Tamandua tetradactyla: one gene and its partners. The protein of the gene in region 1 purifies or fractionates together with the protein of each later gene. This does not show direct contact. Links are inferred from orthologs where the notes say so. Each region holds a gene or a part of one and is shown in the gene's direction. Other genes may lie near its edges.

Region 1 (7,700 bases):
TTCACCCCCCGGAGGCTCGCGGAATCCTTATTTAGACCTGCCTCTCTCTTCAGCCCAGCCTTTCCCAAACTTCCCTCACTTCTATGAAATGTTTCCACTCAGATGGACTGCCTTAAAAAGAAACTTAGAAATATTTATTTAAAAATTAACTTCACAGCCTAACTGGCATAAATGGCAAATCAGTATCCCTCGTGCTGGAAAACACAACAATCGTTTATATCTATTGGGTGCCAGGATAATCTAGCAGGGAGGTTATTAAGCATGGGGTCGTTTCACACGTGTTAGCCAGTTGCAGAGCTGGGATTCCAACCCGAGACAGACGAGGTCCATGCATTTTTTAAAAATTTGTTTATTTACTTCGAGAAGTTGTAGATTTACAGAAAAATCATGCAGAAAGCACAGCGTTCCTATATAACCCCCACCTCACACATACAGCTTTCCCTATTTTTTTTTCTTGTTTTTGTTTTTGATCTTATCCTTTTTTTTTTTTTAACAGCTTTTCCTGTTATCAACACTTCTCCTTAGTATGGTGAGAGAATACCATTATAATTATACTATTAACTAGAGTCTCTAGTTTACCATAGGGGTCACTGGTTGTGGTGTTCAGTCCCATGGTTCTTTGTTAAAATTGTTTATTCTGCTAACATAATATGCAACCCCAATTGTCCCCTTTCAACCACATGCAAATATTTAACTCAGTGGTGTCAGTTACTTTGACAAAGTGCTGCCATCACCACCACCCCTTACCAGAACTTCTCCACTGCCCCAAGCAGAGACTTTGTACCAATGAAACTCTAACTTTCTATTCCCCACCTCCAACCTGGTTCCTGGTACTCTTTTTCCAGTCTCTGACTCTACACATTTGCTTATTCTAGCTATTTCATATCAGTGAGATCATACAATCTTTGTCCTTTTGTCTTCTGGCTTGTTTCACTCCACATGATGTCTTCAGGGTTCACACATGTTGTCCCAAGTATCAGAACTGCATTCCTGTTTACGGCTGAATAATATTCCATTGTGTGTATATGCCACATTTAGTTTATCCATTCATCGGCTGATGGACACTTGGGTTGCTTCCATCTTTCGGACTTTGCAGATAATGCAGCTATGAACATCAATATGCAATTATGTTTGAGTCCCTTCTTTCATTTATTTTGGGTTTACACTTAGAAGTGGTATTGCCAGGTCATGCAGTAATTCTGTACATAATTTTCTAAGGAACCGCCAAACTATTTTCCACAGTGGCTGCACCACTTTACATTCCTACCAACAATGCAAAAAGGTTCCTATTTCTCTGTGTCCTCACCAGCACTTTTTAGTTTCTGTTATTTTTTTTTCAATAGTTTCCATTCTATTGGGTGTGAAATGGTGCTTCATTATGTTTTTTGTTTGGTTTTTCATGGGCAGGCACCGGGAATTGAACCCGGGTCTCTGGCATGGCAGCGAGAACTCTGCCTGCTGAGCCACCGTGGCTCACCCTCATTATGGTTTTAATTTGCATTTCCCTAGTGACTAATGATGTTCAGCATCTTTTCAAATGTTTATTGAGCATCTGTATGTCTTCTTTGGTGAAATGTCTATTCAAGTCTTTTGCCCATTTCCCCCGAGGCTTTCTTCTAGGAGTCTTGTAGTTTGGGTTCTTATGTTTAGGTCTTTGATCCATTTTGAGTTAATTTTTGCATATTAACTTCATCCCTTTACACATTCCAGCACCGTTTGTTGAAGAGTCTCCTCTTTCCCCATTGAGTGGATTTGGCATTCGTGTCAAAAATAAATTGGCCAAAGATGAGAGGGTGTTTTTTTTTCTGAACTCTCACTTCTCTCCCACTGATACACATGTCTCTCTGTGCTAGTACCATACTGTTTTGATTACTGTAGGTTTCTAATATTTTTTAGTGCAGTTTTATTGCTATATTGACACACCATACGATCCATTCAAAGTATACAACTATTTACTGGCAATATCATCACATAGTTATGCATTCATCACCACAATTTTAGAGCATTTTCATTACTCAAAAAAAAAGAAAAAGAAAATAAAAAAGAAAACCCAAAACATCCCATATCCCTTATCCCTCCCTATTATTGGCCCCTAGTATTGGAGTCAATACATTTATTGCTGCTGATGAAAGAATATTAAGATATTCTGTTAATTCTAGTCCACAGTTTGCAGTAGCTACTTTCTTTCCCCCTGTGCCACTCTATTATTAACTCCTTATAACAGTGTCACTCATTTGACCTAGTTCATGAAAGAACTTTTCAATATTTGTATTGATAATCACAATCATCGTCTACCACAGACTCATTGTATTATGTATTCCCATATTTTAACCTTCAGCTTTCTTTCTGGTGAACGACATGACCCTAAACTTCCCCTTTTCACCGCATTCCCACACTACTCTGCACCGATAATTATATTTGCGATAACATGCTACCATCAACTCTACCCATTTCCAAACATTTAAGTCCACCCTAGTTAAATATTCTGCACATTTTAAGCAACTGCTCCCTATTCTTTAGCCTCATTCTATTTCCTGGTAACCTATAGTCTAGATTCTGTGCGTAATATGTTTTAAAATTAGAAAGTATGATCCCTTCAACTTTGTTTTTCTTTGCACGATGGTTTTGCCTGTTTGGGAATCCTTAACTTTTCCAAATAAATTTTATGATTGGCTTTTCTATGTGTTCAAAGAAGGCTGTTGGAATTTGAATTGGGATTGCATTGAATCTGTAAATCACTTTGGGGAGAATTGACGTAAGATATTTAGTCTTTCAACCCATGAACACAGAGTGTCCTTCCATTTACTTAGGTCTTCTTTGATTTCTTTTTAGCAATGTTTTGTAGTTTTCCATATTTAAGTCCTTCACTAGATATTTCTTTAAGTTGCTATTGTATGTGGATTTTTTGGGTTGATTTCCTGTTCTGATTGTTCATTACCAGTATATAGAAACAGTGCTGAATTTTGCATGTTCATCTTGTATTCACCAGTTGAATCTGTTTATTAATTTGAGTAGCTTTATTGTGGACTTTTCAGGATTTTCTATGTAGAGGACCATGTCATCTGCAAATAAGTAAAGTTTTTCTTCTTCCCTTCCAATTTGGGTGCCTTTTATTTCTTTTCCTTGCCTAATTCCCCTGCTAGAACTTCCAGCCCAATGTTGGATAACAGTGGTGACAGGTGTAGCCTTGTCTTATTTCAGATCTCAGAGGGAAAGCCTTCAGTCTTTCACCAATGAGTATAATTTTAGCTGTGAGCTTTTCATATATGTCCTTTACTGTGTTGAGAAAGTTTCCTTTGATTCCTAGTATTTTAAGTGTTCTTACCAAGAGGTGCTGGATTTTGTCAAATGCTTTTTCTATATCAGTTGAAATGATCATTTGTTTTCCCTCCCTTCACTCAATTGATGCAGTGCATTCTTCAATTGATTTTTCTTAATTCAACCCCTCCTTGCATACTTGGGATAAAGCCCACGTGGTCTTGGTGTATAATTCTTTTAATGTGCTGTGGAGTCTGGTTTGCTAGTATTTTGTTGAGCCTTTCTGTATCAATATTCACAAGGGATATTGCTCTGTAACTTTTTCTCTCTCTCCTTTTTTTTAAAACCTGGCTTTGGTATGAGGGTGATGTTGGCCTCATAGAATGGATTAGGAAGTGTTCCCCCATTCAAATTTTTTAAAACTTTTTTTTGTATGTGAAAAATAACATATATACAAAAAAAAGCAATAAATGTCAAAGCACTTTGCAACAATTAGTTGTCAAACTGATTCCAGAGTTTGGTGTATGGTTTACAATTCCACCATTTTAGGTTTTTACTTCTAGCTGCTCTAACATATTGGAGACTGAAAAAAAAATCAATATAATGATTCAGCAGTCATACTCATTTGTAAAACCGACTGTTTTTGTATAAACGCCACCATCACCTTTGATCTTTCTCACTCGTTAGGGGTATTTGGGCTATGCCCATTCTAACTTTTTCATGTTGGAAGGGGCTGTCAGTAATATGGGGTAGGGAGATGGAACTAGCTGACATTCTGGAGAGGCTGGGCCTCTAGGTTTCAGGACTTATCTGGTCCAGAGACCCATCTGGAGGTTGAAGGTTTCTGGAAAGTTACTCTAGTGCATGGAACCTTTGTGGAATCTTACATAATGCCCTAGGTATTCCTTAGAATTGGCAATAATGCTTTTGGTTGGCCCCCTATTTAATTTTTTTGGAAGAGTTTGAGCAGGGCTGGCTTACTTCTTGGACTGTTTGGTAAAATTCACTTGTGAAGCCACCTGGTCTGGGCTTTTCTTTTTGGGGAGGGTGTGGATGACTGAGTTGGTCTCTTTACTCGTTATTGGTGGGTTGAGATCGTCTATTTCTTTTCCAGTCAGTGTAAGTAGTTCGGTCCGCTCTCCCTGTAAGAAGAGGTAACTAAAGAAGAAAGCCAATGAAAACCCAACCGTGTAGCTAATTCTGAGCGGATCCTGTGGCCAAGGCCCCCAGCGGGCCTACAGGAAGAGCAGGTGGTGGAGGGAAGCCTCGCGCCCAGAGGCCCTTGCCACCAAACCGGGACGATGGAAGGGACAGCGCAAAGAGGACAGGTCCCCGCCGGCCCGGCGCCCTGCACCTGCGGGAAGGGCGGGGAATCGCGGCTCCGGCCCAGGCGCGCCCTCCCCACCCTCTCCCCGCCTCCTTCCCAGGCGTCCCGAGGCCGCCCGGGAGCCCAGGCCCCCCGACGGCGGAGGTGCCCGCGGGTCCCTGACGGCGGTTGACCGGGCCGGAGCCCCCATCGGGTCCCGGAAGCGCCGCGAGCGCGTGGCACCTGCGAACTCCGGCGCCGACGCGGGGCCCGAGGTGAGCGCGGCTGCGGGGAGGGCTGCCCACGGGGGTCCCCGGTGCGGGCAGGAGAGCGCCCGGGCTTCGAACCCCGGGGCTCCGGTTCCCGAGCGCCGGAGGCCCCTGGGCGCGCAGAAGGGGCGGGCGCTGGGGCTGCGCCCGGGCGACCGCGGCCGCGGCGGGGGGTGGAGGGGGGAAGACCGAGGGTGCGGAAGGCGGGTAGCGCGCCCTGTCCGCCCCCCTCCCGGGGCTGCCCGAGGCCCGGGCCGCGGGGACTTTTATTCTGACACGCGGGCGCCCGGCTCTGCTTAGTCATGGTGACCTGCGCGCGCGCCGCGATGGAGGCGCCGGGGCCCCGGCGGCGGAGGCGGAGCCCGAGCGCGACCATGGCGGGGTGAGTGAGGCGGCCTGTGCCGGGGCCCGCGAGCCCGGCGGCCGAGCCCGGAGGTCGGGGAGCCGGCCGCCGCGGGCCGGGCGCCTCCGGGGATCCCCGCGGCCCGGGGAAGGGCCGGGAGGGCGCGGCCCGGGTGCCATCCCCTAGTTGGACGGGGCGGCCCAGGAGGGACGTAGGCGGGGGGGCCCAGGCCACGTCGCTCGCACCGAGGCCCGGGGACCTCGGGGCGCTGCTGCTGCCGCTGCCGCCGCTGCTTCTGCTGCTGCTGGCGCCGGGGCGGGGGGCTCGGTCCGCTCCCTGGGGCTGGCGGCGGGGTCACTTCCTGCCTTCTCCAGGCCTTGGCGGCGGCTCAGGCGGGGCATGCGCAGTGCCCACTTGTCGCTTCTTGGGGGCCACGGGAGCGGGGTTGCGGGGAGTTGAGCAGGAGGCGAAGAGGCAGGTCCTGGGCCTCGGCCTCAGCCGGTGGTGCCCGGGTGGAGGAGAGCCTCGGGCCGGGGCGAGGGGAGTGGGCAGCCTGCCAGCCGGCCACCCGCGTTTCCTGACCCCTGGGCAGTGCCAGACCCCAGGGGGAGGCACATGGGATGGGGTGGGGGACACAGCCTGTGACTTAACCAAGAGCTCCTGCTACAGAGATCCCTGGGGGACTGGTGGCCAGAGGGACACTTAATCCTGAAGCCAACTAGCAAAGGAGGTGCTTTCAGTTTCTGACAAGTGCAGTGATCAAAATGAAACCTCAGGAGAGGTGACTCTGAGCTGAGAAACTCTTAGGGATTGCACCCCTTTTCCTGGCCAGCAGTCCTCCCTCCAGGCTATATCTAACACTCCCATCCCTCATTGTCTACACTGCATGCAGCCCCACCTCCTCCTCCCTTGCTTCTGCTGGTCTGTTTCATTCTGCCTCTGAGCTTTTGCAGTCACTGTTCCCTCTGCCTGCAGCCCACTCCCCTTCCTGCCTTCACAGTTATTCCTACTTTACCTTTTCAGAGAAGCCTTTCCTGGAACCCCAGGTTTAAAGTAATCACCCCTCATCACTGTGTCATGAGGCCGTTTTAATGTTCTTCATAGCTTTGGGTTTTATGGTTCTTCCTCTCCGAATGTTAGCTCCATGAGAGTGCAGGGTTTTGTTTTTGTTTTGTTGGTCTCTCTTGTTCACTGATGTGTCCTCGGTGCCTAAAACACTGCCTGACATCCAGTAGGTGCTCAATAAATGTGTGACAGGTGAAGGAAGGAGAGAGCTTGGTGTGCTCGAGGCAGGGAAAGGCCACAGATGGCTGGGACAGAGGGGGCAAAGGGAAGAGGTGAGCAGGGGCTTTATGGGCAGGGCCTTGCAGGCCACTGAGGAGTTTGGTTTTATTCTGCACGCCACGGGGAGCTGTCGAATGATTCTGAGCAGGGGCTGTCGATGACCCGACCTGTGTTTTAAGACGGCCCTCCTGCTGGTGAGATTATAGAGAGCGGTTAGCAAGTGCAAATGGATGCTGCATCACCTGGTTTGCTGGGAAAGGAACCCATGCCGGGATCGCTTTAGCTTACGGAAGGAAGCCCCAGGCCCGTCCCCAACACAGTGCTCTCCCTCTCCAGGCCCCTGAGTGCCAGTGGCAGCGGTGTCCCTCGTTGCCCGGAGCTCCATGCAGCCAGAACCCGGGCCTAGCCGGGCGGGGGCCCACAGCCGATTCCTGCCCACGTGGTCACAGCGCCCCGAGGGGGCCGGGAGCGGGGTGATGTACGCCTTCACCGAGTGCAAGGCCGAAGTGACGCCCTCCCAGCACGGCAACCGCACCTTCAGCTACACCCTGGAGGACCACACCAAGCAGGCCTTCGGCATCATGAATGAGCTGCGGCTCAGCCAGCAGCTGTGCGACGTCACGCTGCAGGTCAAGTACAAGGACACGCCGGCCGCCCAGTTCATGGCCCACAAGGTGGTGCTGGCCTCGTCCAGCCCCGTCTTCAAGGCCATGTTCACCAACGGGCTGCGGGAGCAGGGCATGGAGGTGGTGTCCATCGAGGGCATCCACCCCAGCGTCATGGAGCGCCTCATCGAGTTCGCCTACACGGCGTCCATCTCCGTGGGCGAGAAGTGCGTGCTGCACGTCATGAACGGCGCTGTCATGTACCAGATTGACAGCGTCGTCCGCGCCTGCAGCGACTTCCTGGTGCAGCAGCTGGACCCCAGCAACGCCATCGGCATCGCCAACTTTGCCGAGCAGATGGGCTGTGCCGAGCTGCACCAGCGCGCCCGCGAGTACATCTACATGCACTTCGGGGAGGTGAGCACGGAGAAGCCGGGCCGTGCGGGCGCTCCGGGATGGCGGGCAGTTCCTCACGGGTCTGTGTCCCCGTCGTGTGTGCAGAGTCAGGCAGGTGGCTGCGGGGAGATGGGCTTCTGAGCTTCGGGGCCACACAGTAGGGAAAGGGCTGGGGAAAGTGAGGTTTTCATGGGTCTCTGGGGTCAAGCTGGGGACCGGGTAGGAAAGGCAGGACGGCA
Region 2 (8,020 bases), on another chromosome or scaffold:
AAATTACATCAGTTACACCTCCCCATGAAAATAAGCCTGACTTTCCTTCCTTTCCCTCCATTGTCCGTTGAATCCCTAAGATGAAAATTGCTGTTGTAGCAGTTCCACCCAAGATAGCCTTTCGGCCTATTCATGGAAAGGATCTGCCCAAACTCCAGAGTCAATAACCTTTTAGCCTTTCTCCATTTTTTATACTGCTTTTCCCCCTAGAATAAGCAAAAATCTGCTGATTATTAGAATATTTGATCTAGCTATCACAGATTGACTTAAACTTCCTGGCATTGTAAGATCTTTAGTTAAAGAAGATTTTCAATGATTCTCTTTTTTACCATAAGTTAAATGGCCAACTGCTTTAGGCATTGCCCAGTGGGACCCCGTTTCCCAGAAAGGATTGTCCAGAAAACAAAAACAATTGACCTATGGGAGCGTTCCCAGAAAATGGAACAATGGAATGTAATTTACAGAACTGTAGATAACTAGTATCTGGTGATTAGCCAGTTTTGGTCCAGTAGAAATAGTTTATCAGAATAGATAAGAATACCACAACAATGTATATCTGCTTCCCACTTTTTAAGTGCCCCCCGCTATGTAAAATGGAAACAATCCACCAATTAGATAATTTCTTCACTTGCTTCTAGACTTGCCCTACATAAGCTTCCCCCTTCCACTGCCATGGGAGTGCCTTGCCACAATGTGGTCTGGATACTGCCTGATTCATGAATCTTAAATTGCTCAAAATAAACTCCTATAAGCAATAATTCATCTAGCATTTTATTTTAACCACCATCTTGTTAAAGTTACACAAGATTCAGGAGAGCTGTTTTACTTTCCTAGCCTGCTTAAGGCAAATACCACGAAATGGATGTGGACAAACAAAGGGAATTTATTTGCTCGTGGTTTTGAGGCCTGGAAAATGTCTAAAGGAAGGCATCATCAAGGTGAGGCTTTCTTCCCTGAGACTGGCTGCCGGCAATTCTTGGCTTCTCTGTCACACGGTGGTGAGGAACATGGTGGAGTCTGCTGGTCTCTCCCTTCTCTTCTAGGTTTCATTGCTTTCTGCTTCTTGCTTTCACTCTCTCTGAATTTCATTCTGCTTATCAAGGACTCTAGTAATATGACTAAGATGCAACCTGATTGAAGTGTGTCACACTATAACTGAAGTAGCTTCATCCACGGTCTCACTTACAATGGGTTCACACCCACAGGAACAGATGAGATTTAAGAACATATTTTTCTGGGATACATACAGCTTCAAACCACAGTAAGAACCGTAAAGGTTAATAATTCAAAGCACCTATCACTCCTGCCTGGAAATTCCACTTGCAGCCAGTGACCTGTCTTTAGTGGTAGATGAACTGAAGAAAGAATATTGAGGGTTTGCATGTCATGATACCCGTTATTTGTTCGTTTTAAATCGTAAAGTTAACAGAACATTGAGAATGCATATTTAACAACCCGCACATCAGTTCTCAAGATGCTTGCCTTTACTGCCTAAATTCCATTTTTATTTGACAACATTCAGAAAATATTTATTGACAGCCTGATATGTGTGGCAGAATCTCTTTTTGCCAGCGAACAAAGTATATACAACCCTATATATATATATATATATATATATATATATATATGATATCTTGTATATATATCATCCTTAAGTTGAGCTGGTTCTATGTATGGTTAAGTTGGGACATACTCCAACATACTTAATATATACCCTCTATATATATTAGCGCTCAATAAATGTTTGAATATAATGTTCAATTATTTTTTATATAAATAATTACCAAAAGATTATCAAGAGCACGAATTGTGCTGTAGCTTGGAAAACACCAATCTTTCCCTATTTTATTTTCTTGGCAACTTTGCTGAAAATCAATTGTCCATAATGTATGGATTCATTTCTGGACTCTCAATTCTATTCCATTCATCTGTATGCTGGTACCACAGTCTTGATTACTGTAGCTTTGTAATAAGTTCTGAAACTGGGAAGTGTGAGAACTTTAACCTTGTTCTTCTTTTCTCAAGATTTTCATAGTAGGCTTACAAAGAAATGACTATCTAATAAATTAATAAACGGATGCATCTTTAAGTTTTTAAAAAGTTTGAATTATTTTGGGGAGAGGGGAATGGCTTGGGAATTCTATTATTTTTAAAGGAATATAACCAAGAGATGGTGATATTTAGGTGTAGGTATCTTCAAAAACATGTCAGGTAGGATATGAAAATGCATGTGGGGACTGGGTTTCTGGTGCCTGGATACATGCCAGACACTGTAGCTGAATCCCCTGGGACTGGCACCAGGCTGGGAGCACAGAGTGGGCTCCATAATACCTACTGATTAATATCTTGTGCTTTGTTTTGGTTTGCTTTAATTTTATTGGTTCTTTAGTTGTTCCTGTTTGGTTGATAGTTGCTGACGTTTCTTTTTTCCTTAAATCTATTTGAAAACTAGGCAATTTTGGTTTAGAATCCTATTTTCCTAACAATCCACCATTTTTTTTGCACAATACTGAAATAAGCTGGAGAGATGATTTTCCAGAACAGAATTACTAGTAATTGTTTTCAAATGGGGTAAAGAGGAGATTGCTCAAATAATCAAATGTGTCCTCCTCTCTCTCCCCTCCTAATCTCTTTATTGCTTACAAGATTTTGCCTTCTCTTAGCCTTTAAGGGCATAAAACAGCATCCTATGTTCAAGGTTGGCAATCAGCATTACTTTGAAAGTTTCCTCATCTGTTGCCTCCTCCAGGAAGACCTTCCAGATTTAGAGATGGGGTGGATGGTGATTCCCACATGAATGTGTCACCTTGTGCAACCCACCTTCCCCACACATACTAAAAGGAAAAACATGGCTTCACGTACATGAAAGCTTTGGATTTTCATAATTTTCTTTATATCTGTTCCAAATTTGGTGCATTAGACTTAGCTTGTCTTCTGTATACCTAGTTTCTCCCATCCTCACCCCCCCCCCCCCACCTATTTTCCTGTGTTTACTCCAATCTGTTAAAACACATTCTTGCTTTGAGGATTTACATTTTAATATTTTCCTTCTCTCCCTCCCAGCTCCTGTTACACTCACTGTGCTGCGCACACAACAGGTACTTGGTAAATATTATGTCAGGATTATCTTAGCGTTAGTAGTATTTATTGTCTTCTGTTTCAGAACACCAGGTACTGAGAGGCTACGAGTGGATGTCCGTTTGAAGCACCTAATGCCAACTGTCCAATGGGGGAGTGACCACAAGTGTACAAGATGGTTAGGCCGGTGCTTTGCCTTCTCCGAAGTTGACTCAGTGGAGGCTGGAGTGGCCTCCGCTGGACAGTCGTGCCTCCCATGGCAAACTAAAGCAGGGCTAGGATTAGGCGACCCTGTGACAGACTGAATCGTGTTCCCCACGAGGCCATGTTCAAGTCTCACCCCCCACACCCCCGTCCTGTGGGTGCGAATTCATTTGTGAGCAGGATCTTCAAAGATCCCATTTGGGTGAAGACAAATTGCAGAGAGTAGGCCTTCACCCACTATGTCTGCCGTCCTTACACGCAGAGGAAATGCAGTTAGTGATGAGAAGCCAGAAGAGAGAGAGATGGTCACGTGACAAGTCCACCAGCCAAGAAACCCCAAGGACTGCCAGCCAGCCAGCACCAGAAGCAGACTCCAGGAGAAGCGACCGCCTGCATGGGCTCCATGCTGAACTTCTAGCCTTCCAGCTGGGTGCCAATAAAGGCCTGTTATTTAAACCAGCCAGCGCGTGGCATTTGTCATTGCAAACTAAGCCCCGACCTGGATGATAGTTCTGGCTTTTCCACTAGCAGGAATCTTGGGAGTCACGTTTCCCTTTCATTCACCCCATACTTGTTAGCTCCAAACACGAGCCAGGCACTGCATGAGGGGATGACAATACAATAGCGAAATAGATTTTCCACTCATGGAATTTCTATCCCAGCGAAGGGTCGGGGGTGGCCTCCATCCTAACCTAAAGGCTCGGTTTTTCCATCTCTAAGATGTTGGGTAAACCTCCGGGCCAACAAGAGCGACTCTGACCTGCTACTTTAGCCGTTTGATCAATACTCCAGGTTTAGCCAACAGCTACCCGCTTTCGGTCAGTAGATGACTAATTTTAGGATTCTGGCCCCTTCATCGCGGAGCGCGCCTGCTCAGCTCGGTCCAAGTATTTCCACGTCCTAGGGCCCCGGGTGCGGCCGCACCTATTTTAGGGGGCCAGGGGCCTGCACTTGGTATTCCAAAGGCCGGCCAAGCTCATCCTCCCGTGCAAAGCGGCGCCTACGCTTGACCCGCCTGAGAGGAGGTTGCGGCTGGCGTTTTCTAGGGACCGGCAGGGTCGTCTCCAGGGTGTCACGTTAGCCGAGGGGCCTGAATCAAAGTGAACGCCTGGAAAAGCGCAGCAGGCGCGAGGCGCTGAGCGTGCAGAGAGCACAGCGCGCCGAGCGCGAAGCTTCCTGCCGCAGGCAGACTTCCGGAGCGCTCGGCCAGCCCAGACGCCGCGCCGCCCGTTCCCTGCGCTGGTGCCCGGGGCCGAAGGGGGGAAGGGGGCGCACCCAGGAGCCCCCACGGAGAGCCAACCTTCCCGCCCCTCCCGCGACCCGCTGCCAGGTCCCGCCTTGCGCGCCGCAGCCCCGCCCGGGACCTGCCCGGGCACTACGAGGGCGGGGCTGGGGAGGCGGGGCGCGGGCTGCGGCGGCGGGGCCCGGGCGGGGGGCAGGGCCAGAGCCCGAGGCGGCGTCCGGGACGTGCGGGGGCGGGCCCGGAGGGGGCGGGGCGCGCGGGTGAACGGGCGCGCGCCGAGCGCATCCGCCGGCGCCCCACGTGACTGGCCGCGCGGCCTGAGGTAAACAAGCGCGCCGGCCCGCCCCCGGCTCCCCTCCCCGCGGCCGACGCAGCGGCGCGCGCGGCCTCCCCGCACCTGAGAGGCCCGAGAGGGCGGGCGCGGCGCCCGGGTCCGCGGCCGAGGCTCCCCCCGCCTTGGCGCAGCGGGCACTTGGCGGCCGCGCTCTTCGGCAGTGACGCGCGGGCTTGGGTCATCTCTATTCCGGGAGCGCCGGGCTGCGGGCCGGAGGGTGTGTCCGCGCCCCGCGCTATAAGGGCGGCGGCGGCGCCATGCAGCTCTACAGCAGCGTCTGCGCGCACTTCCCGGCCGGGGCCCCGCGGCCCGCCGCCCCCGCCGCCGCCTTCAAGGTCCCGCTGCCACCGCCGGCCAGTGGCGCGCCCCAGCCGGAGCCCGAGCCCCGGGAGCAACCGCCCGCCGCGCCCCGAGAGCCCGCCGCCGCCGCCGCTGCCGCGATGCCCGCCTTCGCCGCCTGCTTCGAGGGCGCCCCCGCGCCCGCCCCGGCTCCCGGCGCCCCCCTCCGCCCGCCGCCCCAGGCGGCCGTGCGGGCCCTGGGCGCCGAAGCGCTCCTGCTGCGCGGGCCCGCGCCTCCCGGCCCGCCGCGCCGTGCCGCACCCGCCCCGGCCTGGCTGCTGGACGGGCTGCTGCGGCCCGACGGCCCAGCTCGTCCGCCGCCCGCCGCCGACCTCCGCCTGCGCGAGCACCGCCAGGCCCTGGCCGCCGCCCAGCGCCGGGGGCCCACCGGCAGCCCTGAGCCCGGCCCCGGCCCATGGGGTGAGGCGCGCCCGGTCGAGAGCGGCGCCCGCGGGCGGGAAAGGGGCGCGGACCGCGGAGTCGCCCCCGGCACGGTGGAGGCGCGCCCGGCCCCCCACCCTGAGCCCGCGGCCCGCCCGGACGCGCCCCCCGCGACCGGCGGCCCCGCTGCCCGGGGCGGCGCGGCCGAGGCGGGGGTTGTCCCCAGGGCGGACCCCAGGGACGAGAAGCTGGCCCTGTACCTGGCCGAGGTGGAGAAACAGGACAAGTACCTGCGGCAGAGGAACAAGTACCGCTTTCACATCATCCCCGACGGCAACTGCCTGTACCGCGCCGTCAGCAAGGCCGTGTCGGGGGACCAGAGCCTGCACCGCGAGCTGCGGGAGCAGACGGTGCACCACATCGCCGACCACCTCGACCACTTCGGGCCGCTGATCGAGGGCGACGTGGGCGAGTTCATCGTCGCCGCCGCCCAGGACGGGGCGTGGGCCGGGTACCCCGAACTGCTGGCCATGGGGCAGATGTTGAACGTGAACATCCATCTCACGACGGGAGGGAAGCCGGAGAGCCCCACGGTGGCCACCATGACGCACTACCTGGGCCCGGAAGATGCCCGAAGACCCAGCATTTGGCTCAGCTGGCTCAGCAACGGACACTACGATGCGGTGTTCGACCAGTCCTTTCCCAATCCCGAGTATGACAGTTGGTGCAAACAGACTCAGGTGCAAAGGAAACGCGACGAAGAACTGGCCAAGTCCATGGCCATATCCCTGTCCAAAATGTACATTGAACAGAACGCCTGCTCCTGAGACGTCTGGAAACCGACACCCTGGGAAAACTGCACCCTTAACTTGTGTTTGGAGAATCACATGAACTCTAAATCAGGGTAATAGCACTTTTCAACCTCCTAGTAGAGTTACTATAGGTGTAATGCCTTAATCATGTTTTTTGAATGTGTTTTCCCCAGAGCTGAAGGTTGCTGAGCACCTGAACGATGTTTCACGACAGCTTTGGGTGATCCTTCTGCTGTTTGTCATTTGCTGTATAAAGTTATCGCCACTTAATTTGCAAGCTCATTTCGCTCGGTGTAAATGTGTTCATTCCTGGTCATCTGTTTTCTATAAAAATGTATTTTTGCACAATGTTTTTAAAAATCGTGGACCTTCCTTCATGATGAGTTCCATTTTGGCCGACAGCTTCCAGGCATAAATCCAGAGAAGTGCTTTATAAATTTGAACTAGTTTATCATTTAGAACAGAGATTGTGATTTAATAGTTATTTTGTGGGGTTGGAATTTGAGTTTTACAATTCTTAATTATCTCACGTGGATGTATTGATGTATTCACAGATGATGGGCCCATTCCGTTTGGATTCAACAAACAAATTTGTTGTTTGGGGAGTTTTTATTTTTCTAGAAAAGGTCAGTCCTTTACTTCAAAGCTAAATTCTTAAGTGAAGGTTGTGGGAGAATTTTGTTTTTGTTTTTATTTTTTATTCTTTAAGGGGTAGTACCAGCTCTTACTTGACTGAAAGTCTAATTTTTGCTGACAGCAGAGTGGCAATCTGTGTTCTGGTTGATGTGTGGAGTGGGTTGTCTGGTGCTCTCATTTGTTTTTATTTCTGTCACTTTATTATAAAATGATTTTAACATGGCACAGAACTTTGTGGCAGTCTCCTGCTTTATGTATCTTCTTGGATTCACTAAGATTTAAAAACTAACAGCATAAATGCCTCCATCCAGCTTTGGCAGTTATTTTACAGCAGGAGAAAACTGTCTGACTATTCTAGTCCTTATAAATTCTCTTGAAAGGCAAAATAGAATTGCCTTGTATTATGTAAAAATGTCTGTAAACAGAGCTTGTATGGTTTGCTGGGTCAAACAATGTTCCCAACCTAAAATCTATCTCATTTCCACTTTAGCTACTTTTAGTCATATTTATTAAGTAATGCAGTTTGTACTTTTTTAATTTGTAACATTTTGTGAATTTTGTACAATACTGTATTTGTACACTAGGGCGATTCTCAGTTGATGGAATGAATGAATAAAATGAATAGTTTTACAACGTCTGCTTGGATAAAGTGGTTTTTAAATTAGAAAATGACTTCTTACATCTTCACTGTTTTTTTTCATATGCAAAAATGGCACAGAGGTTTCCTAAGGTCTCCCATGACCAGGATGGGATAATAATTATTATATCCTAAGTATAGTCTGTCAATGAAACATAATTTAAAGGGGAATAACTCAAGAAATCGCTCTCATTATTTCTAATTATAATTCCTGTAGATGTGCCGGCATCTATTGGTAGTGAGCAGGAAGTATTGTTTTAACCAGCACAGTGTCTAAATAAATGTCATAGTTTTGGGTTCCACACACACTCAGCACAGATTTTAGTACTCCAAAGAGTCATCCAAAGCAGCGTCCT
Region 3 (7,039 bases), on another chromosome or scaffold:
GGAAAGGAACTGACATGTAATGTACTTTCCTTGGGTATAAAGTTCTTTCATTTTTATTTATTCATTCAACAAAAAATTAAAGAGTAGCAAAGCATTGGGCTAGATGTAGGGAATATAAAAATGAAAAAGGCGATGGTGAAAAAATATTTATGCCTTCTAGCCTCCTATATTCTGGAGCAGCTAGAAGGGAAAATCTGAGAGGATCAAATGGTAGCCCATGACAGAGTCTGGGATCTGTCCTGTAATTACTTGTTGAAGAGTGCTTTGAAAACTGAAAAAAGAATCCCTGCTTGCCCTCAAAGTGCTCTCAGTCTAGAGAGAGAAACATACAGACAGCTTCATACACACATATACACGCTCCCATTCCCCACATGCACACTGATACACACACAATCACACACATACATAAATGCTAATACACGCATATTTATACCCACATACACATACATGGTTGTGAGCTAATAAAGTGATGACAGTGTGTAGAGTACATTTTTAAGTTGCAAAGAGGAGAGATACAGCAGTGGCAACAATCCTGTGAGCTATCCATTTATAGAAGTCTGTGAGGTTAAGGAATTAGTAGAGTTATTAAATCCTAAGGAATTAGGTTTACCAAGATTCAAGTCCCAATTAGCTGTTATTATCTATGGGGCCATGGCCAAGTTATTTAACTCTTGGCCTTATTTTCCTCTCTTTAACCATGGGGATTATAATAGTACTTTGCATAGGGTTGATAGGACGTTTAAATGAGATGATGCCTATAAACCACTTTGTACAGTGCCTGACATGGAGTAAGCACTCAAGACATAATAAAATTTTAATTTTTAATGATATTCTTATTATTATCAAGGACGGTTACACTCCAGGTAAACTGTAAAGCTAGTACTCCCCCTCACAAGCTGTTTAGTGAGGCCTTAAATTATTTTTAAGGTAAGTAGAGCCAAAAAATTGTGTGTTAAATATTTACATGGTCACTGGTTAAACTTTACCTTAAAAGTCTAAAAATTCAGAGAAGCCAAACTATGATTTACAAATAACACAGATATCTAGATTTCATGATAATTACTGAGAAAACCTGAATCTGTCCAAATGTCAACTCATCCAGCATTATGAAAAGATTTCTGTGACTTCAGGGTGAAAAAAAAAATGTTTTTATCAGGTCCATGGTTACTTCACAACAGTATGTTAGACTTTTATTACCTCATTTATAGAACATTGATATGATGAGATGATTCATTTTAAAAAAAGAAATAAAAGTGGCCAATATACATATGAAAAGGTGTTATATCACTAATCAGAATTTTAAATTAAAATGCCCATCTTGGGCCATCAGCTTGGAAAAGATTAAAAAGATGGTGTTATTGAGGATGTGGTGAAACTGGCATTCTCATACCTTGTTGGAAAGAGTTTATATTGGTGCAAACTTCCTGGGGGCTGATTTGGCAATACAGGTTAAAAAAAATTGAATATACTCTTTGACGCAGCAATTCCATTTCTTGAAATTTGTCATAAGGAAATACAATCAGACAAATACACAAAGATGCCTGTGTATGCCTGCTCATTGCAGTGTTGTTTATGATGGCAAGAAACTGGAAATAATCTAAATGCCTATCAACAGAGAAATGCTTAAATAAATTATGGTAAAGCTACACTGGAACACTATCCAGCTATTAAAAAGAGTTAAGTAGACCTGTTTGTCTATTTGTACTGGCATGGAAAGAAAGAAGTCCATTATTCATTGAAAGTGGAAAAAAAGTTTTATAGAAAAGTAGGTACCATTTTCATATTTTAAAGCAAGTGTATGTGTAGAAAAAAATCTAGTTATATTTATTTACTGAGGTTAGTTACCATAAAATTCACTTGTTCTAAGTATATAATTAAATGGATTTAGTAAATTTATAGAGTTGTGCAACCATCACTACAATCCAGTTTTGGAACTTCTCATTACCTCAAAAAGTTCCCTCACACCCATAGGCTTAACTTTTAACAATGGTTAGGGTGGAGGTGGAGTTGGTGGGGGGGCGTGGAGCTGGCAGGAAGGGAGAATTACCAGACAACTTTCTAGTTTATCATTCCTGAATTATTTGAATTATTTACAATAATGATAATCTGAAAAACACAGTGAAGAGTTTTGTTTTGAAAAGACAGAGAAAAAAAAAGGAAATTGACCCTAATCTACTGATACTTTATCCACAGGAAATAATTAAGTATGTGGGGAAAAAAAGGTTTGTATTCCAAGATGTTTATCACTGTTTCATTTAAAACAGAACAATTATAAATAATCTAAAAATCTCATGATGGAAGTGAACACTAAAAGTTCAGGATACAAACCTTTAATCTCATGCAGGTAAAAAAATTAATGTACAGTCCACCCACCTCCCCCAAAATCTGTTTGTAATATAATAAAATCTTACCAATGGTTATCTACGGATGATGGAATTCCAGGGTTTTCTTTTTAATTTCGTTCTTTGTGTATTTCCGTATTTTCCACAATGAGCACCTATTTACATTTAGTCACACGTCCATAAATGTTAGTAATTAAAACTAGAGACTATGGTATTGTTTTCATGGGTAATACATTTGTCAAAACGTATAAATTGCATACTTTAAATATGTACAGTTTATTGTGTATCAGTTACACCTCAATAAAGCTATTAAAAAATGAGAGCTTGAGAAACCAAGTCATCATAACCCTCCTACTGAAAGAAGGGCTTCAGTATATACCGTTTTGGGGCTGGAGGGGGACATGGTGGTTGGGAACTGTAGGTAGGCATTATACTAATAGCAACATTCCCTCTGCCCCAGATACCTCCATTAATTAATTAATTAATTCAACAGCTCTGCCTTCCTTCTACATGCCAGGAATGTTGTCAGGTTGGAAACCACTATGAACAACAAGCTACTGCCTTAAAAGCTCCCAGCTGGTGGAGGCGGGCGAGGAAGATCATCATCTGACAGATTCCAGCCAACTCCTGCTCACATCGCCCCACAGCAGTCCCTTGACCACTAGCTTGGTCCTCAGGGGCCGGAGGCAGGCCTAGGAAGCTACCGCCTTACTAAGTAGTTCAGGTAGCCTTGAAGGGCGACACCAGGAATACGGCTGTGGAAGTGACCAGGAGGAGGTACGTTACCCACAAGGGAATGTCCCGGTCATTACTCATGAAGTGGTTTGAACAATTTTTCTCTATCTATATCAGTCTTACCTGCACAGTTCTAACAACAGCAAGGACTAAGACTGAGGGTTTACGGTGCAGCCGCCCTACAAATGACTTACAGACCTTTACTCCTCGCCATAAGCCCTCCGTAGGGTATGGAAATTAAGGCTCGGAGAGGTTCCCGCCTGAGGTCACAGAGCTGAGAAGCTCTGGCTCCAAGGCCGAAGCTCCCAACCATCACAGTACTCCTCTCACTGCAGCTCGGATCCTCTTGAGAAATAGTCCACTCTCAGCAACCCTGACTACTCAGCTTTAACTTTTTTTTTTTTTTTTTTTTAGCGTTTTTCAGTGTATGATATAACATATATACAAAGCAAAGAAAGAAAAAGGCAGTAATTTTCAGAGCCCTCTTCAACAAGTAGTTACAGGGTAGATCCCAGAGTTTGTCATGGGCTATCATACCATCCTCTCAGTTTTTTCCTTCTAGCTGCTCCAGAATATAGGAGGCTAGAAAGAATAAATATACATATATATCACCACAATCGACTTTTTTTGTGGAAAACAACATATACACAAAAACAGATTTAATCTCAAATTTTCCCAGATCCAGAATTCAGGTAACGACTGCTGGCACAACCAACAGGGTCCTGGCCACAGGGGTAACGCCACCAAAGCGGGGGGGCTGACAGGATCTGGGGTTTGGAGGGCAAATGGTGACCCCGCGCAAGGACGGTCCACACCTCGCCTGCGGCCGGCGCAGTCCAGCGGCTCAGAGCAGCTAGTGCGCAGTGCCGAACGCGCGTGCGCGGGGCCAGAGGGGCCGCCCGCACGCGGGCATGCGGGCGCGCGGGCCGGCGCACGTCGGCGGAATCGGCGGCGCGCGCTCCAGGCCGAGGCTGTGTAGGCTGGGTAGGGAGCTGGGCGGCTGCGCCCCAGAGAAGAGGTGACGCGGGAGCAGGCGGCCGCGGCGACCTCCAGCTCGCGGCCTGAGCGGGAGAGCTCGCCTTCTCGGCTGCCCATCTCAGAGGCCGCGGGCCTTTACAGTCGCCAAGAGTGGCCGCCGCCCCTGGAGACTCGCCGTGACACGGGCCTAAGTCGCGGCGGCCGCAGACGTCCCAACGGCTTGGACCCCAGTCCCGGTCGGGCTGGGCCGGGTAGAGACGAGCGTCGGGGCAGGTGCCGCCCCAGTGGACAGTTCGGGGGTGAGGAGCCCAGTCGGGCTGCCCCCGCGGACCCGGCTGCGGGAGGGACCGTCCTCTCCTCCTACCCCCTCCCCCTTCCCCTGCGCCGGAGCTCGCGTCGCTGCCCCGCCTTCCCCCGGAGCCGAGCGGCGGGAGCCGGGAGATTTTGTGTTCGTTGCCGTCGCCGCGGCCGCTGCCGCTAGACTCGCGCGAGAGAGGAGGGAGGAGAAACTTTGCCTTTCATTGTTGTTTTTAGTCCTTAAGTGCAAGGAACTCTGTTGGAAGGAAAAATGTCCTTCTTCAATTTCCGTAAGATCTTCAAGTTGGGGAGCGAGAGGAAGAAGAAGCAGTACGAACATGTGAAGAGGGACCTGAACCCCGAGGAGTTTTGGGAAATTATAGGGGAGTTGGGCGACGGAGCCTTCGGGAAAGTGTACAAGGTAAGAAGGAGAAAACGGGAAGTTGCACTTCTTAGATAAAACAGCCACTACGGGAGTGGCACGAGCGCTTCTCGCTCCCCTTGTCCCTTTCCTGTCTTTTTTTTTTTTTTTTTAACTTTGTAAGCACACACTGAAACTTTATTTAGATTATTATCCAAGGAATGGCTAAGACAGTAGGGTTTTATGTTGAACAAAATGGGGCCTTTAAATAGTGGTTAAATAGTCAAGGTTATACAGTCTACTCTATCCAGATTTTAAAGGAGATGAGGGTATTCTTTAATTTAAAAGTAGTACCTCTTAAGTATTTTAAAGTAAAAAAACTCATTCTACTTTCCCGCGTTTTATAATATTTATCTACTAACTGGTTACATTCGTATGCATTCTTACACTAAAACAGTTCCTTTTTTTAGAGTACACGGCATCTATTCGATTGCATCTGTAGCGAATATAGCTGGTCTTTCTTTTGGGATGAGAACAAAATGATTGTTACTTGCGCATTATTCTTGAGTTGATTGCTTGACAATGTATTATAAAATGGAATGAAAATTCTGATAGAAAATTTTCAGAAGAAAACCTACATCTGGTAATAGTTTCTAAATATATAGTAAACATTGTTAAAACACATATATACGCCCGTATTTATATGTATGTATTTCAATAAAAAGGGTTGGGTTTTCAACCTGAAGTTATTTACATTAACTATTTTCTTCTGTGGAGCATAAAAATGATGTTATAGGTGTGTTTTCACCTCAAACGGTGAGGTTTTTATGAAACACAGTTTAAGAAGGACTCATAGGAGTCCCTAGGAGTGAAAAATATGTTTATACAGGATTTTGCAGTTTTTTTTCCTTTAGACTTTTTATTTTGAAATAATTTCAAACTTGCAAACCCCATACAGAGAACTCCACCATGCGCCCCCATACCCACATCCACAAATTTTAACATTTTGCCATGTTTGTATCATAATATCAGTCTATTTTCTGCACAATGTATGTTATATGCATTGTGCTCCTTGAACATATGATATTTCCATGTACATTTCCTAAGAAGGAGGGATATTCCTTTGTGTAACCACCCTATGAACAGTTAATCAAGTTTGAGAAATTTAACATTGACCTAAAATCTATATTCCAATAATGTTCTTCAAGTCATTTCTTTTGCATTATTAGATCCTGACCAGGATCACATACTGCATTTAATTGTCATTGTCTCTTTAGTTGCCCTTTTAGGACTGCAATTTTTAAGTATTTTCATATAATTTGGCCCTGACAAAAGTCCTGTGAGGTAGGCAGGTGAACAGTGTTATCCACATTTCACAGATTACACTGAGACTCAGAGTTGTTTATTTCAAAGTCACAAGAGTCAGAGCTTAACATTTGAACTCAGGTCTTCTGACCCCTATTTAGTGTCATCTTTTATTTTAACATCCCTGCTTTGTAAGTACTGTCATATTTCTGTCTTTGCTTTGTCTCAAGTGAAGCATTTCACTCACACCCACAGTTCTCAAGCTCTGCTTAACTGTTGTGTCTAATTTACCCAGGCTGAAATATTCACTCCTGTATACTTTCAAAACATATAGTTCACACGGCTAGTATAGAGCTTGTCACATGTGTTAAGTTTGTGTAAGATGACCAGAGGCCAAAACCCTAATATACATTTAGGTACATCTATTGCCTGACATACAGTGTGTGTGTGTGTGTGTATGTATATAAATGTAAAAGGGCAACTAAAGAGACAGTGACAATTAAATGCAGTATGTGATCCTGGTCAGGATCTAATTATGCAGGAGAAAAGATTCGAAGGACATTATTGGAACATCTGAAAACTTGGAATATAGATTTTATATCAGTGTTAAATTTCTCGAACTTGATTAACTGTTCATAGGGTGGTTACACAAAGAAATATCCTCCTGAGGAAATGTACATGGAAATATTATATGTTCAAGGAGCACAATGTATGCAGAAAACAGGTTGCTAGTATGATACAAAATATACGTGTTTGTTGAAATGAAAGAGTATGTTACCTACATGCGGATGCTGTTTAAGCTATGATATGCTATAGAAGTTGACAAGGTTTAGTGTTTGCGTGGAGGGTAGACTGATGTGTTTCAGCAAGAGCTTCCTGGGTAGCCAACTATATGGCAATGAGGGCTTTTATTATAGTGGGAAGATCACTCATGGAGTTTTAGTCTTGACTGTCACAAACCAGGTTTGTGGGCTTGGACAAAACACTTATCTGGACCTCAGTTTTCTTAGTGTAAAAATCA
Region 4 (6,891 bases), on another chromosome or scaffold:
GAATGGCCATTTCTCCATAGAAAATATACAAGTGACCAATAAGTCAATGAAAAGATCCTCAACATCATCAGCTATTAGAGAAACGAGAAATCAGAACCACAGTGAGATACCTCCTCACATCCCCTAGGATGGTTATTATTTCTTTTTTATTATTTTTGTTTTTGTTTTCTTTTTTCTATTGTTTATTTTTAGGATGGCTATTATTTTTAAAATGCAAAGTAACAAGTGCTGGCAAGGATGTAAAGAAACTGGAATACTTGCACATTGCTGGTGAGAATGTGAAAAGTTTCTGCCGCTTTGGAAAAGTGTGGCAGTTTCTCAAAAGTTTAAACATAAAACTACCATATGTCCTGGCAATCCCACTTCTGTGTGTATACCCAAAGGAACTAAAAGTAGGGAGTCAAGCAAATAATTTTATACCAACGTCCATAGCAGCATTATTCACAACACCCAAAAGATGGAAACAACCCGTGTCATCAACAGATCAATGACCAAAATGCAGTATATCCATACAATGGAATATTATTCAGAAAAAAAATATGAAGCTCCAATATACACTACAATACCGATGAACCTTGAAAATATCATTCCAAGTGAAAAATGCCAGGCACAAAAGGACAAATATTGCAGGATTCGACTTCTATAAAGTACCTAGAATAAACAAACTCAGAGACAGAAAGTAGATTAGAGGTTTCCAGGAGTCAAGGGGAGGGGCTGAGGGGAAGCTCTTAATCGGTATAGAGTTTCTGTTTGGAGTGGTACAAATCTTGGTAATGGACAGTGATAGAGGTAGCAAACTGTGAATGTAATTAATGCCACTGAATGATATACCTGAAAATAATTAAAATGCAAAATGTTACTTTATGAATGTCACCACAATTAAAAAAAAAAAAAAGCCATAGGAAGGAGTCATCCAAGGGTGTAAATGTAGGTGGAGAAGTAGACAAAAGACCTGGGGCCATTTGCCAACAAAGGAGACTGAGATGATGTGACCTGCAGGGTAAGAGGAAAAGAAGGGTGCGTGGAGTCTTAGATATTTTAGAAGGGGTGTGTGGGGTCTTACAAGTCTTAGAACACAGCCTTCTATTTCTGTAATAAGCCTAGCCTACTTCTGCCTTAAGGTCTTTGCACTTACTTGCTCCTCCCACAGACCCTAGCAGGTGCCTCATTACTGAGGCCTCAGCTGAAATGTCACCTCCTCAGAGAGGCCTTTCCTGATCACCCGATTTAATGTTGCCTCCCCCACCCTCGTCTCATTACCTTGATTCATTCCCTTCATAACACTTATCACTATCTGAGATTTTCTGATACATTTAGCTGTGGACTTACATGTGATTTCCCTTCTAGGAGGGGCCTTGACTGACTCAGTCACTGTCTCTCCTGTTTATAATGGGGCCTGGTATGTAATAAGTATTCAATACATTTGTTAAATGATGGATAAATATGCCTCAATACATTAATTTACATAGGTTGCTATTATTTCCATAGGATCCTATAGGTACACAGTAAATTAGACAGCAGAAAAGTTTAACATGGTATCATTAACAAAATTGGGCTAAGAAGAACTTTGTAGGGTTCCTAAGATACTTTACAATCTCACCCAATTTTTCACTTTTCAAGTCTGGTAAAAGACGTGATAGTGTTTTCACAGGCTTGTGGTTCTTGTTAATGACCAAGGCAAGGAAACAAATCACAGTTCTTCCAATTTAGCAATGGAGTCAAACAACACACACTATTGCTCTCCAATTTCCTCTTAATGCAATTTTATTGAGATATATTCATACACCATACACTCCTTCCAGAGCATACAATCAATGAATCAATGGCTCACAGTATCATTTTAGAACATTTTCATTGCTCCAAAAAAAAAAAGAAAAGAAAACACAAAACGTCTTATACCCTTTATCCCCCATCATTGACCCATAGCATCGGTGTGGTACATTTGTTACTATTCATGAACGAATATTAAGTGCTGTTAACTATAGTCTATAATTTACAATACTGCATTTTCCCCATATACCCCTCTATTATTTTGTTCTTCTGTTGTGAAATATAACATATATACAAAAAAGCAATAAATTTCAAAGCATAACACAACAATTAGTTATAGAACAGATTTCAGGGTTTGGTATGGGTTACAGTTCCACTGCAGGTTTTTCCTTCTAACTACTCCAAGACACTGGAGACTGAAAGAAATATCAATATAATGATTCAGCGGTCATACTCGTTTCTTAAATCCTAACTTCTCTACTATAACTCCACCTTCTCCTTTGATCTTTCTCCAAATTTTTAGGGGTATCTAGGCTATTACCATTTTAACTTTTTCATGTTGGAAAGGGCTATTGATAATATTGGATAGGTGTATGGAACTAGTTAATGTTCTGAAGACACTGGCCCCTCTGGGTTTCAGGACTTATCTGGCCTAGGAACCATCTAGAGGTTGTAGGTTTCTGGAAAGTAATCACAGTGCATGGAATCTTTGTAGACTCTCAGATACAGCCCTAGGTATTCTTTAGGATTGGCAGGAATGTTTTTGATTGGGGTTTGACAAACCATGGTAAATAGCAGTATCTAGCTGAAGCTTACCTAAGAGTAGCCTCCAGAATAGCCTCTGGACTGTATTCCATCTCTCTCAGCCACTGATACCTCATTTCGTTACACTTCTTTCCCCCATTTTGGCCAGGGTGGCATTGTCAATCTCAGGGTGCCAGGGCCAGGCTCATCCCTGGGAGTCATCTTACACATTGCCAAGCAGACTTTTGCCCCTGGATGTCATGTCCCATATAGTGGGAAGGTTATCTCCAATTTCCTTTTGAGAGAAAACATTTCAAATAAACTATTACAAGATTTAAGAGTGATTAGCTGATTCATATCTTTGCAAGATCAGATGTAAAAGAGGGCCCAACCTAGAACCAGAATGTGACAGGTGCAGGTGCTTTGGATGGGAAGGAATGACCAGTAAGGATAAATGGCAGAATGCTCGACAGAAATTTTAAGTACGGCGATCCCAGATAGGTCAGCGTAACTATAGCGCAGGGAGCTCAACCGTGACAAGAAACGAGGGAGAAGGGCCCTATGTTTAGATGAAATGGTGAATGTGTACTCAAGTGAGTACACATTGAGTGTGTACTCAAGTGGGGAATGTGTACTCAAGTGAGTTCACTGAAATCGTGGACCTTAAGCAGAGGCCATCGAGAACCATCTAGCATTACAAAGCAGGCTGGAGATGATTATCACCCAGGCTTCTGACCCTCCTCCACCTATTTCTGGCGGGGGGGGGGGGGGCAGCGGAGGGGGGTGAAGCGCGGAAGGAAAATGCCAGCTCACTCTGGCCTTGAGGAGAAGGCTCAGGCATTTCTTCCCTCCTCTTCGAATCCCTGAGCCTTTTCCGAATTGAAATCAGGAAACCAAACGGTGCTTGGGCCGGGGTTTGCCCATCCTCAGGCCTCCCAAGGTGGCTGCACCTCCGGCCTAGCTCGGACGCGGGTCAGGATCTACCAAAGGGCAGTGTGGGGAGCCGAAGACGGCGAGCGGTCCACCGGCACAGGGAGCGGAGGCTGGGCAGAGCCTGGGCCGCACGTCGCGGCCAAGGGAGAGGAAGAAGCCGCCGCCCCAGCAGAGGGAGCGTGGAAGCCCGCAGAAGGCGACTAGCGCGGGTCTCCTCCAAGGTTTCCTCCGGCTCGCTCACAGCGCCTCGGCCCCGCCCGGCCCCGCCCCAGCCGCCCAGGCCACCGCCTCCTCCCTAGCCGACGCAAGGGGGAACCTGCTCCAGCGCCTTTAAGAGGCGTGTTCACGTGCTCCGCCCCATCTGCCCCTCGCGCGCCAGTCAGTGGTGGGGTGCGGGAGGAGGTGCTTGGGGGAGGGGAGGATGGGGGCGGGCGGCGCTGCGCAGGCGCAGTGGCCAGGCGACGGAGCGTGAGTTTCCAAAATGGCGGCAGCGATGGACGTGGATACCCCGAGCGGCACTAACAGCGGCGCGGGCAAGAAACGCTTTGAAGTGAAAAAGGTTGGGTCTCGCCAGCTGCTTCCTCAAGGAAGCTAGACAGGCGCGGACTTGGCTGGCAGGCCCGAGGGTGACCGAGGCGCGAAGAAAAGGGCTTCATTTCAGGGCGTTCCTGGGACCGGGTACCCCCGAAAGGAAGCCGGAGGGTGGGTCTTAGGGTTGATCGGCGTGTCTGCGACCCACTGTCAGTGAAACTATTGGTTTCGCTCTTAGGCTGAGGGTCCAATCACTGAGGTGTTTATTGAACTACTCCGGCTTGCGACTTGGTCGCGGGAGCCAAGCGCCTGAGCTGTCACTGGAGTGGTTGAGGGGTGGGGGAAGTAGAGAGTGGGGTGGGTGGATGGGGGAGTCGGAGCTACTGCAGTGAGTGGAGGATGGGACAGTGCGGCGAAAGCCGAGAACCTGAGGTCCTACCGCAATGGAGGTTTCTGTAGAGCTGGGCTTACGATCTCCTTACCCCGCCCCTTTTTGAAGCTTTGCGGTCCCACTGACTGAGGGATCCCGACGTTGTCCTCGCCTAAGCAAGGCCTCTCTGCCCCATCTCTGGCCTTCACCCCCACCAAGTTAGAGTCTCATTTCTTATGCTTGGCTCTTTTGATTTGTTACGCATCCGTCTCAGTCTTGTGGTTCTCCGTCATGTCCAGAAGCCACCCCCTATTCCCCCCAAAAGCATATGAAGCCCAAACCTCGTAGCGTTTAGGAAGGGTTGAGTACGAGTTGCGAATGGCCTGTTAGAAGTGGGAAAGCAAAAATGTTGAACGTGTCTTTGCATGAAATCCCTTTTAGTGGTTTGCCAACAGCTTGGGAGAAAAGTGTGGATTTCCACCTAAGATGAAATAAATCTATTCAAAATGAGGATTTTCAAATAAGGAAGCTGTTATTCCTGGAATATCTGGCTAAACACTAAAAATATTCTCCTAGTGCTTTTTTGCGTCTCGTTATGGGCACTTCATGCCCAGTTACAGCCAGCAGCCATATTGAAGATAGTAGTAGACTTTTTTCCTCCAAATTGAAGCTGTGGGGTAAAAAGTGCTGAAGAAGTTGCTAGACACTGAGATTTGGCTTGCAGGAGATGAGGGGGTGGGAGTGGTGCCAAATTAGTGGATGAAAAAGGCCTTGGGAGTATTTATAGTTGCAGAAGCAGAGGTTGAAATACTTAGATACTGGGTTTAGATAAATTCTTAGTGGAATTATCTCAGTCATATGTAGAAGTGGGCATATAAAACTTGAGAACATTTGTTTGAGAGTAGGAACTAAAAGTTCAGTGAATTCTAGAGTTTGTTATGGAGCGATGCTGTAAGAAATAAGTGGTAACATTGTTCTGTGTACTAATACTGTTGGTATTTACCCACTTCAATCCAAGATTACCCATTTTATGCTCCGGTCATCATCTTAGTTCATTCTCTTCCTAGCTTTCACCTCCCCACTCATGCTTCCAAAGCTGCCTTTAAGAGCAGAATTTATCTATGCAGACTGATCTCTTGTGCATCTGCCTGGGGAACCTGCACAGTGATGCAAGTTTGTGCTTATTAAGACTAAAACAAGCCCTTAAAAATTATTCCTGATTGCTGACATTGAAGTGGCTGACTAAATATTTTTAGGTCTGGGAAAAAATTAAATTAAAAGATGATACATTAATTTCATGTGCTTAACATTTTGGAGAATGGACGAGATTGTATGTAGCCTATTGTTGTCCTCTGGTGTAATAAGAGTAGTGTAATATCCAGAAACTCTTGTTTGGTGGTCCATGTGGCCAAAGAAGATGTTAACTCCAGCTGCAGTACGAAATTCTAATGTGTGTGTAATATGTTACAAGGGAAGTGCATTGTTCCCCCTTTTCTCTCTTTGCAGTGGAATGCGGTAGCCCTCTGGGCCTGGGACATTGTGGTTGATAACTGTGCCATCTGCAGGAACCACATTATGGATCTTTGTAAGTAATTGGAGGAGCATGGGAGCAAGTTGAGAAGGTTGCAAGGATTGTTGCTATCCTGATGTGATCAGTTTTCTTCTTCAGGAAAGATATAAAACATAGTGCTTGGGGTCTTCTGCACCTGGTCTCTTGGTGTGTTTGAAACAGAATAGTTTTTGGATTGTCTTGAAGACATACCCAGTTCTTAAAATAAATCAACTTGCTCTAAAGAGAGCAAGGCCACGTTTAGAATGAATTGTGGACACAGGGGCACTGTAGATTCTTTCTCTTTATATTTCCTATCTCCTACCCAGACTCAAAGGCAGAAGTAGTAAAAGGAAGAAAATAAACTTTGAACTAAAATATTCTGTCCAAGCTAGTTTTTGCTGGGTGAGATGTGTAAAGAAAAGAAGCTGAAGAAGTAAGGATTTGCAACTTTAGCCCCATACCTAGTAAAAAAGACATCACTACCAACATCTAAATAGGCAATTAAATTCACTAAAGAAATTTGATTTAAATCTCTATATATTTATTACATAAGGTGATCAAAACATAGTGAATCTGATTGTAGCTGTTAACTGACTAATTTAGTATCCTTGTAGTAATGGGAGGGAGAAGATTGATTACACTGAAACAATTGAGGTTACTTTTTCATCCACATACTAAATTGGTTTGCTAATGAAATCAGAAATCAGGCAAAGAAACTTCAAGGTTCTAGAATTGAAATTGTGTTTTGTTTTGTTTTGGCATAGGCAGGGTCGGGGAATTGAAACCAGGTCTCCCACATGGCAGGCAAGAAAAGGGTACTTACTTTTGAGATGGTTCACCTGCCTCTTCAGCCTCACCTTGAGCCACTCTGCTACTCACTGTAATAGTTCTCTTGTCTTTCCATTCCTGAAGTCTCCATGCTCTTTATTAGTGTCCTTGCATAGCATCTTCCTTCTGTCTGGAATATTCTCTCCCTCTTCAATCTCCTACC

Evidence for each region.
Region 2: the proteins of KEAP1 (region 1) and OTUD1 purify together in Homo sapiens (affinity purification with western blotting; 3 studies listed by BioGRID, with this or other methods). This does not show direct contact. The link is inferred for Tamandua tetradactyla from reciprocal best matches to the Homo sapiens genes KEAP1 and OTUD1.
Region 3: the proteins of KEAP1 (region 1) and SLK purify together in Homo sapiens (affinity purification with western blotting; 3 studies listed by BioGRID and IntAct, with this or other methods). This does not show direct contact. The link is inferred for Tamandua tetradactyla from reciprocal best matches to the Homo sapiens genes KEAP1 and SLK.
Region 4: the proteins of KEAP1 (region 1) and RBX1 purify together in Homo sapiens (affinity purification with western blotting; 6 studies listed by BioGRID). This does not show direct contact. The link is inferred for Tamandua tetradactyla from reciprocal best matches to the Homo sapiens genes KEAP1 and RBX1.

Annotation. Positions count from the first base shown.
Region 1 is NC_135337.1:91,324,035-91,331,734, forward strand, and holds the start of KEAP1 (kelch-like ECH-associated protein 1), read left to right. Parts: upstream 1-4,685; 5' UTR 4,686-4,839; intron 4,840-5,137; exon of another isoform or gene 5,138-5,215; intron 5,216-5,724; exon of another isoform or gene 5,725-6,654; intron 6,655-6,796; 5' UTR 6,797-6,843; coding exon 6,844-7,482; intron 7,483-7,700. UniProt on the Homo sapiens protein: Substrate-specific adapter of a BCR (BTB-CUL3-RBX1) E3 ubiquitin ligase complex that regulates the response to oxidative stress by targeting NFE2L2/NRF2 for ubiquitination.
Region 2 is NC_135327.1:227,112,081-227,120,100, reverse strand, and holds OTUD1 (OTU domain-containing protein 1), read left to right. Parts: upstream 1-5,003; 5' UTR 5,004-5,116; coding exon 5,117-6,406; 3' UTR 6,407-7,664; downstream 7,665-8,020. UniProt on the Homo sapiens protein: Deubiquitinating enzyme that specifically hydrolyzes 'Lys-63'-linked polyubiquitin to monoubiquitin.
Region 3 is NC_135339.1:66,071,320-66,078,358, forward strand, and holds the start of SLK (STE20-like serine/threonine-protein kinase), read left to right. Parts: upstream 1-4,034; 5' UTR 4,035-4,623; coding exon 4,624-4,773; intron 4,774-7,039. UniProt on the Homo sapiens protein: Mediates apoptosis and actin stress fiber dissolution.
Region 4 is NC_135333.1:34,060,724-34,067,614, forward strand, and holds the start of RBX1 (E3 ubiquitin-protein ligase RBX1), read left to right. Parts: upstream 1-3,872; 5' UTR 3,873-3,928; coding exon 3,929-4,006; intron 4,007-5,854; coding exon 5,855-5,933; intron 5,934-6,891. UniProt on the Homo sapiens protein: E3 ubiquitin ligase component of multiple cullin-RING-based E3 ubiquitin-protein ligase (CRLs) complexes which mediate the ubiquitination and subsequent proteasomal degradation of target proteins, including proteins involved in cell cycle progression, signal transduction, transcription and transcription-coupled nucleotide excision repair.